Linked DNA regions of Sus scrofa. The protein of the gene in region 2 purifies or fractionates together with the protein of the main gene of each other region. This does not show direct contact. Links are inferred from orthologs where the notes say so. Each region holds a gene or a part of one and is shown on either strand. Other genes may lie near its edges. The genes, in order: KPNA3 and KIF22.

Region 1 (4,289 bases), on a different chromosome or scaffold from region 2:
CTGGGCCAGCGATTGAAACTAAGCCACAGCTGTGGCAACACTGGAGCCCTTAACCCACTGCACTGGCCTGGGAACAAACCCATGCCTCCGCAGCAACCAGAGCCGCTGCAGCTGGATTTCACAGTGGGAACTCCTCACTTGGTTCTTTATTCACCAATATCTCATATGCCCTGTTCAAGTTTAGTACATACTTCCCTTAAAATTCACCAACCTTTCTTCCACGAAGCTTTTCCCAACTGAATGACTATGAAACTACTTTCTTCCTCAGCCCTCTCCCTACTCACAATTCCCTGGCTTAACGCCACACTGTTATTTTCTTTAAAAATATTTATTTTATTTTTGTACCTAGCATCTTATTTATGTATCGTCCAGCTATATCACTCATAATATGTTTTACCTTTTATCTATCCCATGTATGAAAAGGTAGAAATGAAAGCTCATCAAAGTACATCTCACTTTTTGAATAGCCTAATAATCACTACTACTTAGTCACAGAGCTAAGGTGCAATGTAAGTTTCTAGTGTAATACAGTTCCTAATGGATAAGACTATATGGGGGGTCTAATCTCAGTTATACCAAATTTCACAAAAAAGGCGCTTGATCGGATTTGACCCTTTAATCACATCTCCAGTATCCATCTCTCTCAGCAGTCCTACAGTCTCTCAGGACTCTTCAATTACTGCTCCCTCATTCTGGAATGCCCCTTCCTTGGCCATCTTTCTTTCATCCTTCAGGATCAGCTCCCTCCCAGTCATCCACCAGGAATCAACCAGAACTCTCCCCTGACCATTCAGCTCCAAGTCAAAATCTTCTCATGCAGTCTCAGAATACACTTATTGATGTCCTGCACTGTAATCATCAGTTTACTTTCCTATCATTCCTACTGAACTATAAAAGTAAAAATCCCTGAGTTACAAACCAAACACTGTTCGATACCCAGTAGACCAATGAATGAATGCTCATACCCACTTCATGACCTTGTGCAGACTGTATAAGCACTTTTGTGTTTCCTCATCTAAAGTATTTTCCTCCTGTAAAGTGGTGATAATGCTACACCTAGCTCATAAAGTTGTCATAAGGCTTAAAAGAGGTATCATGAAGCTCTTAGTATAGTGGCTGCCACATGGAACTACCATTTGAATGTCTGCTATTTCATGCCTTAGTTATTCTCCCTCATGTATTCTAAGAATTGTAATGTGACCGCTATTTTCAGGCTTCATATCTTTTTTATGCATCTAGAAGTCACTGATCACATTCTGACCTTTAGCAGAGATACACTGTGTGCATATTATGCAAAGGAGTCCTTACTAGGTATCACTGAGATCCCCAAACACAATAGAGGCAAAAAAAAAAGGGGGGGGGGAAGAATGTTAATTAGTTCTTCTGTACAAACAATACAAGTATTTTTCAAACTACATTAAGTTTTGCTTTATGACAGAGGTAAGCTTCAAGAAAAATGACTGATGATTACGGTTCAAAATTACCTATCATCAAGAGGACCAATAACAAGAAGCAGTTCCAAATTTCTTACTGCTATTCTTAAGTTGCACTTTTGCTTACAAGTATTTCTCACTGTAAAATTGAACAATGACCAGGACAGAAAAAAGATGACTTTTATCTGTCTCAATAATATGAAAATTCCAAGGCATTTCCCTACGTTTTTCTCCAATTACTATTTAATTTTGTGGCTCCGAAAAACGGCCTCAGTTTTGTCTGTTCTTCTACAAAACAGAACACTGAACGGTATATTTTCCCCACCACCTTCTCTCTTTAAGACAGGATAAAATGCGCACTTCTTCGTCACACTGGCCGCTTAGCAAGAATGAGAAAACTGCAAATCATGTCACCTAGTAAAAGAAAAGAAGGCTGTGGACCTGAAACCACTTTCCCCCAACAATCCAGAGGTCAGAGTCCCAGTGAAGTTTGTGCATTACACTAACTACACTGCTTTTAGAAGCTGCAGAGAGACCTCTAGCGCTGCCTGGACAAGCCGAGTTTGCAAACAGTACCTGCTAATGTCACCTTAATGAGACAATGGCAACATGCTGAGTAGCAACGAACTGAGTGAACACGATCAATGTTTACAGTTTTGCAACCACTTGGAAATTCTACCAGCTTAGCGCAAGGCCGTATGAACCTATGTATCCAATTTATTTCAGTAAAACGTTTCAAAGACATGATTACCCTATGCACACCCTCACTACAAGAAAAGGCTAAGAAAAGAGGTCCTGTGAGCGGAGGTCGGAACAACGTCTCTTCCAAAGCCTCAACACAATAGACGGTAAACTATTGTCCACCTTCAGCTTGCTCCAAATGCCAGCAGTAACAGGAGTATGAGCTGGAAAAGCAAAGCGCGACTGGTCCAAAGAACCGCACTGGAATATAAGAAAATGGTCCTAGCGCATCCTACCCTCCCCCATTCACCACCCTCAAACAAGTCAGTTACCCGGCTGGTCCCCACCCCCCTCTGCGGGCCGCCACCGCCCGCCTGGGCCCGGCTCACAGAAGGTAGGCGCGGGGACCGGCAGAGCCGAGGCTCCATGTGCAGCAGCGCGGGAGGCACTGAGGGGGCCGCGCCGGGCAGGAGGCTGCACGGGCAGCGGGCGCGAGCCGTGGCCGCCCCCTCGGCGGGGCGGTCGATGGACCCGGGCGGCAGCATCCCCCCAGCCCGCGAGGCCCCAGCCCGCGGACCCCGCCTCAGCTCCACATCTCTTCCTCGCCGACAGCAGGCCGCGCCCGCGTGACGGGGCCGAAAACCCCGGCGTTTCCCGGACTCCGCGCCGGCAGCTTCGAGAGGCGGCTGCAGCCCGGCCCGCGTCCCGCCGCCCGCTCCGCCCAGCCCCTGGCCGCGGTGACGGGAGACGGTAGCTAACTCCGACCCACCGCGAGCCGGCGAAAACCAGCCCGGCGCCGGCCCCCCGCCCCTCCCCGCCGCCTCGGGGCCGGCGCGGCCAGGCGGGCGAGCCTGGAGGGCCCCAGCAGCGAAAGCACACTCACTTCCACATCTCGGCCCTTATTCTTAAAGCTCTTGATGCGGTGGTTCTCCAAGCCGGGGTTCTCGGCCATGGCTGCGCGCGGCTCCGGCGGCGGCTACTCCTGCGGCTGCGGCGGCGGCGAGTCTCGGCGCGGGAGGGGGAGGAGGGGGAGAGCGGGAGGGAAAGGGAGGAGGAGGGGGAAAGGCGGGCACGTTCCGTGACGCCTCCGAGCGCGAGGTGGCAGCAGCGCCGGGGGAGGCGCAGGCCGACAGACGGGCGGGGCGGGAACCGTGCTCTGGAACGGCGCGCTCTTGTGGAGGCCGGGGTCACGTGTCCGGGGCGGGCTCCGGCCTGGACGCTCGCCGGGCTGGATAAGTTCCACGTGGTACTCGGGATGACCCCGGCCCCAGCCCCTCCGCAAATCCTCCCCACAACCCCGCCGGGCTTCAAGTATGGTGCCAGCAATGGAGCCGAACTTAGCAGCTTTTACTGCCCCCGGGACGCGGGGTTGCGGGAGGAAACTACAGTTCCCAGCATGCCATTCCCTAGCGAGGGTAACTCTCCCGGCTTTGACAGAATCAGAAGAATGCCGGGAACCCTAAGCGCGCGTCTTTATGCGCGGCGCGCTCAGGGAGCCCGGGCGCGAGGCTCCGCCCCCAAGGCCGCCTCTGGGCGGGGAGTGGGAGGAGCTTCCTCGGAGACGGCACCTTGCGTCCTATTGGGAGGGAGGGGGCGGAGCTTCCTGGGAGGTGCACCTAGCTCCGTGTAGCCTAGAAAATTAGAAACCGATGCACGGCTGGTGCTTTGCTCTCTTGCTTCTTTGCGGGGGCGGGGGGGGGGGAGGGTGGCACGGGGGTCTCCTGAAATAGCAGCCACCCTCATTCGCTGTTCCTTTGCTCTGCTTTAGTTTTATAATTAGCATTTATTTCCACCTGACATGTATATATGTATGTATGTGATATGTGTGTGTGTCGATCTGGTTTACCGTATCGGAATTAGCTCAGTTAGGTAGGGACGTTAGGTATACTGCTGAATCCCTCCGTTAATACAGTGCCTGGCATGTCATGAATACTCAATAAATGCTTGAATAGATTAGTGCTCCGGCATCTGTCTTCATCATTCTCCCAAGCTCGGTTCTGCAACCTTCACTCTGGCAGGTCCTGCATTTCTGTACTCTCGATATTTCTGTTCCACCTCTGCACATAATCTTCTCGGCCCTCAGGAAGTAGTCAAGCCTTGGTCTGCAGACTCTTCCAGTCTAGCATCTTCCTTTAGGGTCATCGTAAGAATGATCAGGAGAAATGTGGATATATA
Region 2 (3,810 bases):
AACCTGCTGCGCCACAATAGAACTTCTCTGCATGACCATCCCATTCTTATATTTGAAAGTAACCTCAGGAGTTCCTGTTGTGGCTCAGCACTAATGAATCTGGCTAGTATCTATGAGGATTTGGGTTCCATCCCTGGTCCTACTCAGTGGGTTAAGGATCCGGCATTGCCCTGAGCTGTGGTGTAGTTCGCAGACGTGGCTTGAATCCCCTGTTGCTGTGGCTGTGGTGTAGGCTAGCAGCTGCAGCTCCGATTTGACTCCTAGCCTGAGAACTTCTGTATGCTGTGGGTGTGGCCCTAAAAAGCAAAAAAGGGAGAAAGTAACCTCCGTTGGTCTTGCAGAATAATCAATCACGCATTTGTCAGTCTACCCCACTGTACTAAATGCTGGAGGGCAGAGCACCCAGATCTACTTCAGATCCCTCTTCCTTTCCCTGGGGTTGGTGTATTGTGTGAGGACATGAGTGACATGAGGTCAGCTGCCCCAAACAATAACTCCCTTCAATTATCTGGGTCTTCCTGGCCCCCAGAGCCAAACTTACTCAGTTGTAAGGGCATCACCACAGCTCTTTTGAGGGGCTTCGCCACTGTGACTGTGCGGCGGGCAAGAGGTCTGAGCGTGGTAGGAGAGTAATTCTCTTTTTCCTTTGGGTCTGCAGCCTCCTGGGCCAGCACCTTGGCTTCCAGTTCTTTTTGCTTCATCTTAAGCCTCTGTTAGAAAGGATTGGGAGAGATAGGACCCAGAACCAACTTTGGGGCAGTTTGAAGGGCAGCGGATTAGGGATGCGAGTGTGCAGGGCTCTGAGGCCCTAAAGGGGCTGGGTGAGGACCATTGGGAGAAACTACCAGGAGACAGTGGAGCCTGATGTAATTAAGAGCTTTCTAATGATCAAGGCTGCCTAGCGGTGGAATCAGCCTCTTTGGGAAATACTGAAGGATTGTTCAAGCAGAGTCCTAACTTAATGTGAACTGAGTTTTAGGGAATGGCAGTGTCTTGCATCTGTTTCTTTTACCTGGAATTTTTTGCCCTCTCGTCTCCTCACATCTGATCTCAATTATTTTTCAAAGTTCAGCCATGCGAAGGACATTCAAGAACGAAAGGATTCCAGTGTTGGGTAAAAACAGGGTGCTGGTCCAGCTTTTCAGTGTCCTTCCCTACCTGAAGATCCTCAGATTGCTTCTCAAGGCCAGGAGGAGTCCCAGCCCCAACCCCCAACACTTACCTCAATTTCCAAGTCCTTCTCCTCCACTGTCTTCATGAGCACCATCCGCTCTCGCTTCGGGGTGCTCAGCAGAGGGGTCCCCTGGCTCCCCTGGGAGCCCAGCAGACGGTCCAAGCTCAGGAGGCGCTCCAGCATAGCTGGGTCCATGCTACTCAGCTTCTGCAGGGGGCTGAGCAGACAAAGTTGACTCCTCACCCTCCTCTCTTTACTGCCCTCTGTAGCAGCAGGATTCTCCTCATCATGCCTTAACATGGTATACGCTATGGTTCCAGAACCCTAGTGTTAACTTGCTGGGCAAGCCTGAACAAGTCATCCAGACTCTCTGGGTGCAGTGGCGCTCACTGTCTGACTGTGATTGATTAGGTGTCAGCAAGGGCCGTGCGCCTGTGCATGTGGAGGAGGAATCGGTGAAAGCTTCACCGAGGAGGTCATCTTCAACAGGGCTTTCAAAGCCCCTGAAGATCTCAAATGCCAAGCCTCCCTCCTGTGGGCAGCAGGAAAGCCCTCTTCAAACAGTGGCCTGCCTTAATCCGAGCATGGTAATGCCTCACATCCGGTCCTTCTGTCTGGAATCCCCCTCACATCTGACCTCGATTATCAACGTCAGCCACCTTTCCCCTGATGCCCAGCTTGACTGTGTATCTTCTTTCCTACACTGTGAACTAGCTCCTCCAGGACAGAGACTGCTCTGTTCTTTGTGAGCAAGTGCCAAGAGGAGCAGGATCAGAAAATGTAGATGAAGGTCTTTCTTCCTTGCTGGATCTCACAGAACAGGAGGGTCCACCTTCCTTACTGTCTGCTGTCAACCTTGCATCACATACTGATTCCCAGCTTGCTTCCTCGGCTAAACCGTGAGCCCCGGCGTCAGGGGTTGTCCAGGTCTGATGTGCCCCATCTCTGAGCCTTTCTGGCAGAGACCTTGCCTGTTCACAGGTAACATAGATGCGTGGGTGTGTGTGCTTCTCCGAATTTGGATACATGGGAGAGGGGACTGCCAATAAATGGCATGAGAAAGACAAGATCACAAGCTAAGGTTGTCAGTGAACACAAGAACCTAGGCACCTTTTTTTTTTTTTTTTTTTGGCTTTTTTAGGGCTGCACCCATGGAGTATATGGAGGTTCCCAGGGTAGGGGTACAATCAGAGCTGCACCTGCCAGCCTACGCTCACAGCCACAGCAACACGGGATCTGAGCCACATCTGCAACCTACACCACAGCTCATGGCAATGCTGGATCCTTAACACATTGAGTGAGACCAAGGATAGAACCCAAGTCCTCATGGATACTAGTCGGGTTTCTTAACTGCTGCACCACAAGGGGAACTCCACCAGGCATCTTTTTGTGTATGCCATCCTTAACTACTATAGCCCCCGAGGCAGCATAAGCACTAATCCTTGGCCTCCTCAGGTCACCTCTGTTCAGTAGTCTTCAAACTTATACAATTTAGAGAGGCTCTATGTGGGCTAGGAGTAGAAAGATGGCAGAGTTCAAACTGCAACTCGTTCTTTGGAGTTAGGGAGGGCCAAGTGGCCAGACATAGAAAGCAAGACCACTAAACATGGGGGGGCCTGAATATTAGTGGCTGCTGGGCCATGAGGTGGGGCTGTCAGAACTGGGGAGGCCACACACAGAAATGACTTAATTTAGAGGCTTTGTTTGGGGAGTTCCCACTATGGTGCAGTGGGTTAAGAATCCTACTGCAGTGGCTGGGGTCACTGTGAAGGTGCAGGTTCGATCCCTGGCCAGGTGCAGTGGGTTAAAGGATCCAGTGTCGCCACAAGAGCGTAGGTAGAAGCTGCAGCTAGGATTCAATCCCTGGCCTGGGGAACTTCAATATGCCACGGGTGCAGCCATTAAAAAAGAAAAAAGAAAATAGATGTTTTGATTGGATTGAGGGTGGAAGCAGGGAAAAGTTAGGACGGCAACTAAACCCATGGAAGGTCACAGAAAGGCTGGACTCTTAACACACAGACTGAATCTCAGCGAGACATTTCTCTTCATCCTTGGGACCTGAAAGACCTGATCCTCATTTACTCCTTGAGCCAGAAGCAAAAGTGCTCATCCTTGGAATACTGGTGGCAAAATATGAGATTTTTGTTGACTGCCTAAAGGAGTTGGAAAATGGAAAGCAGGATGGTGGGGGGGAGGTGGGGGGAGGAGTGCCTGGAGGCCTCCTTAGGGCCTCTGGCAGCAGCATCAAGGCTGGAGATCTTAGCACTTCAGTGAATTCAATAAAGTAGGATTTGGGGTGAATCCGGTGGAAGCCCAAGTTCACAGCTCAAGGATCTTACAGGCTAAACCCACTGCTACTGCACACCCAATCCAGACATAAGGGGAATCTACATAAGAACCCTCCCTCTCTGCTCACCTGAGTTTCTGGAAGGCAGAGGCTGGAGCTGCTGGGGGTTCAGGACTTCCACTTTCCTCTTCCTCCGGGCCTCGGGCTCTCTTTGCCTCTGATGGGCCTAGCAGTTCTTTCTGAGACAGTTTAATAGGTGCCAAGACTAGGGGAAGATGGTGAGGTGGAGGGAGAGGGGGTGTCAGCCTCTATGCTGATCTTGGTGAGTTCGGCAAATTCCCCAATTGTC

The links.
Region 1: the proteins of KIF22 (region 2) and KPNA3 purify together in Homo sapiens (affinity purification with mass spectrometry; 3 studies listed by BioGRID and IntAct, counting the BioPlex papers as one, with this or other methods). This does not show direct contact. The link is inferred for Sus scrofa from reciprocal best matches to the Homo sapiens genes KIF22 and KPNA3.

Annotation. Positions count from the first base shown.
Region 1 is NC_010453.5:17,947,017-17,951,305, reverse strand, and holds the start of KPNA3 (importin subunit alpha-3), read right to left. Parts: upstream 3,097-4,289; 5' UTR 3,067-3,096; coding exon 2,998-3,066; intron 2,686-2,997; exon of another isoform or gene 2,660-2,685; coding exon of another isoform or gene 2,504-2,659; intron 1-2,503. UniProt on the Homo sapiens protein: Functions in nuclear protein import as an adapter protein for nuclear receptor KPNB1. Binds specifically and directly to substrates containing either a simple or bipartite NLS motif.
Region 2 is NC_010445.4:18,036,331-18,040,140, reverse strand, and holds part of KIF22 (kinesin-like protein KIF22), read right to left. Parts: intron 3,727-3,810; coding exon 3,591-3,726; intron 1,392-3,590; coding exon 1,223-1,391; intron 711-1,222; coding exon 542-710; intron 1-541. UniProt on the Homo sapiens protein: Kinesin family member that is involved in spindle formation and the movements of chromosomes during mitosis and meiosis. Binds to microtubules and to DNA. Plays a role in congression of laterally attached chromosomes in NDC80-depleted cells.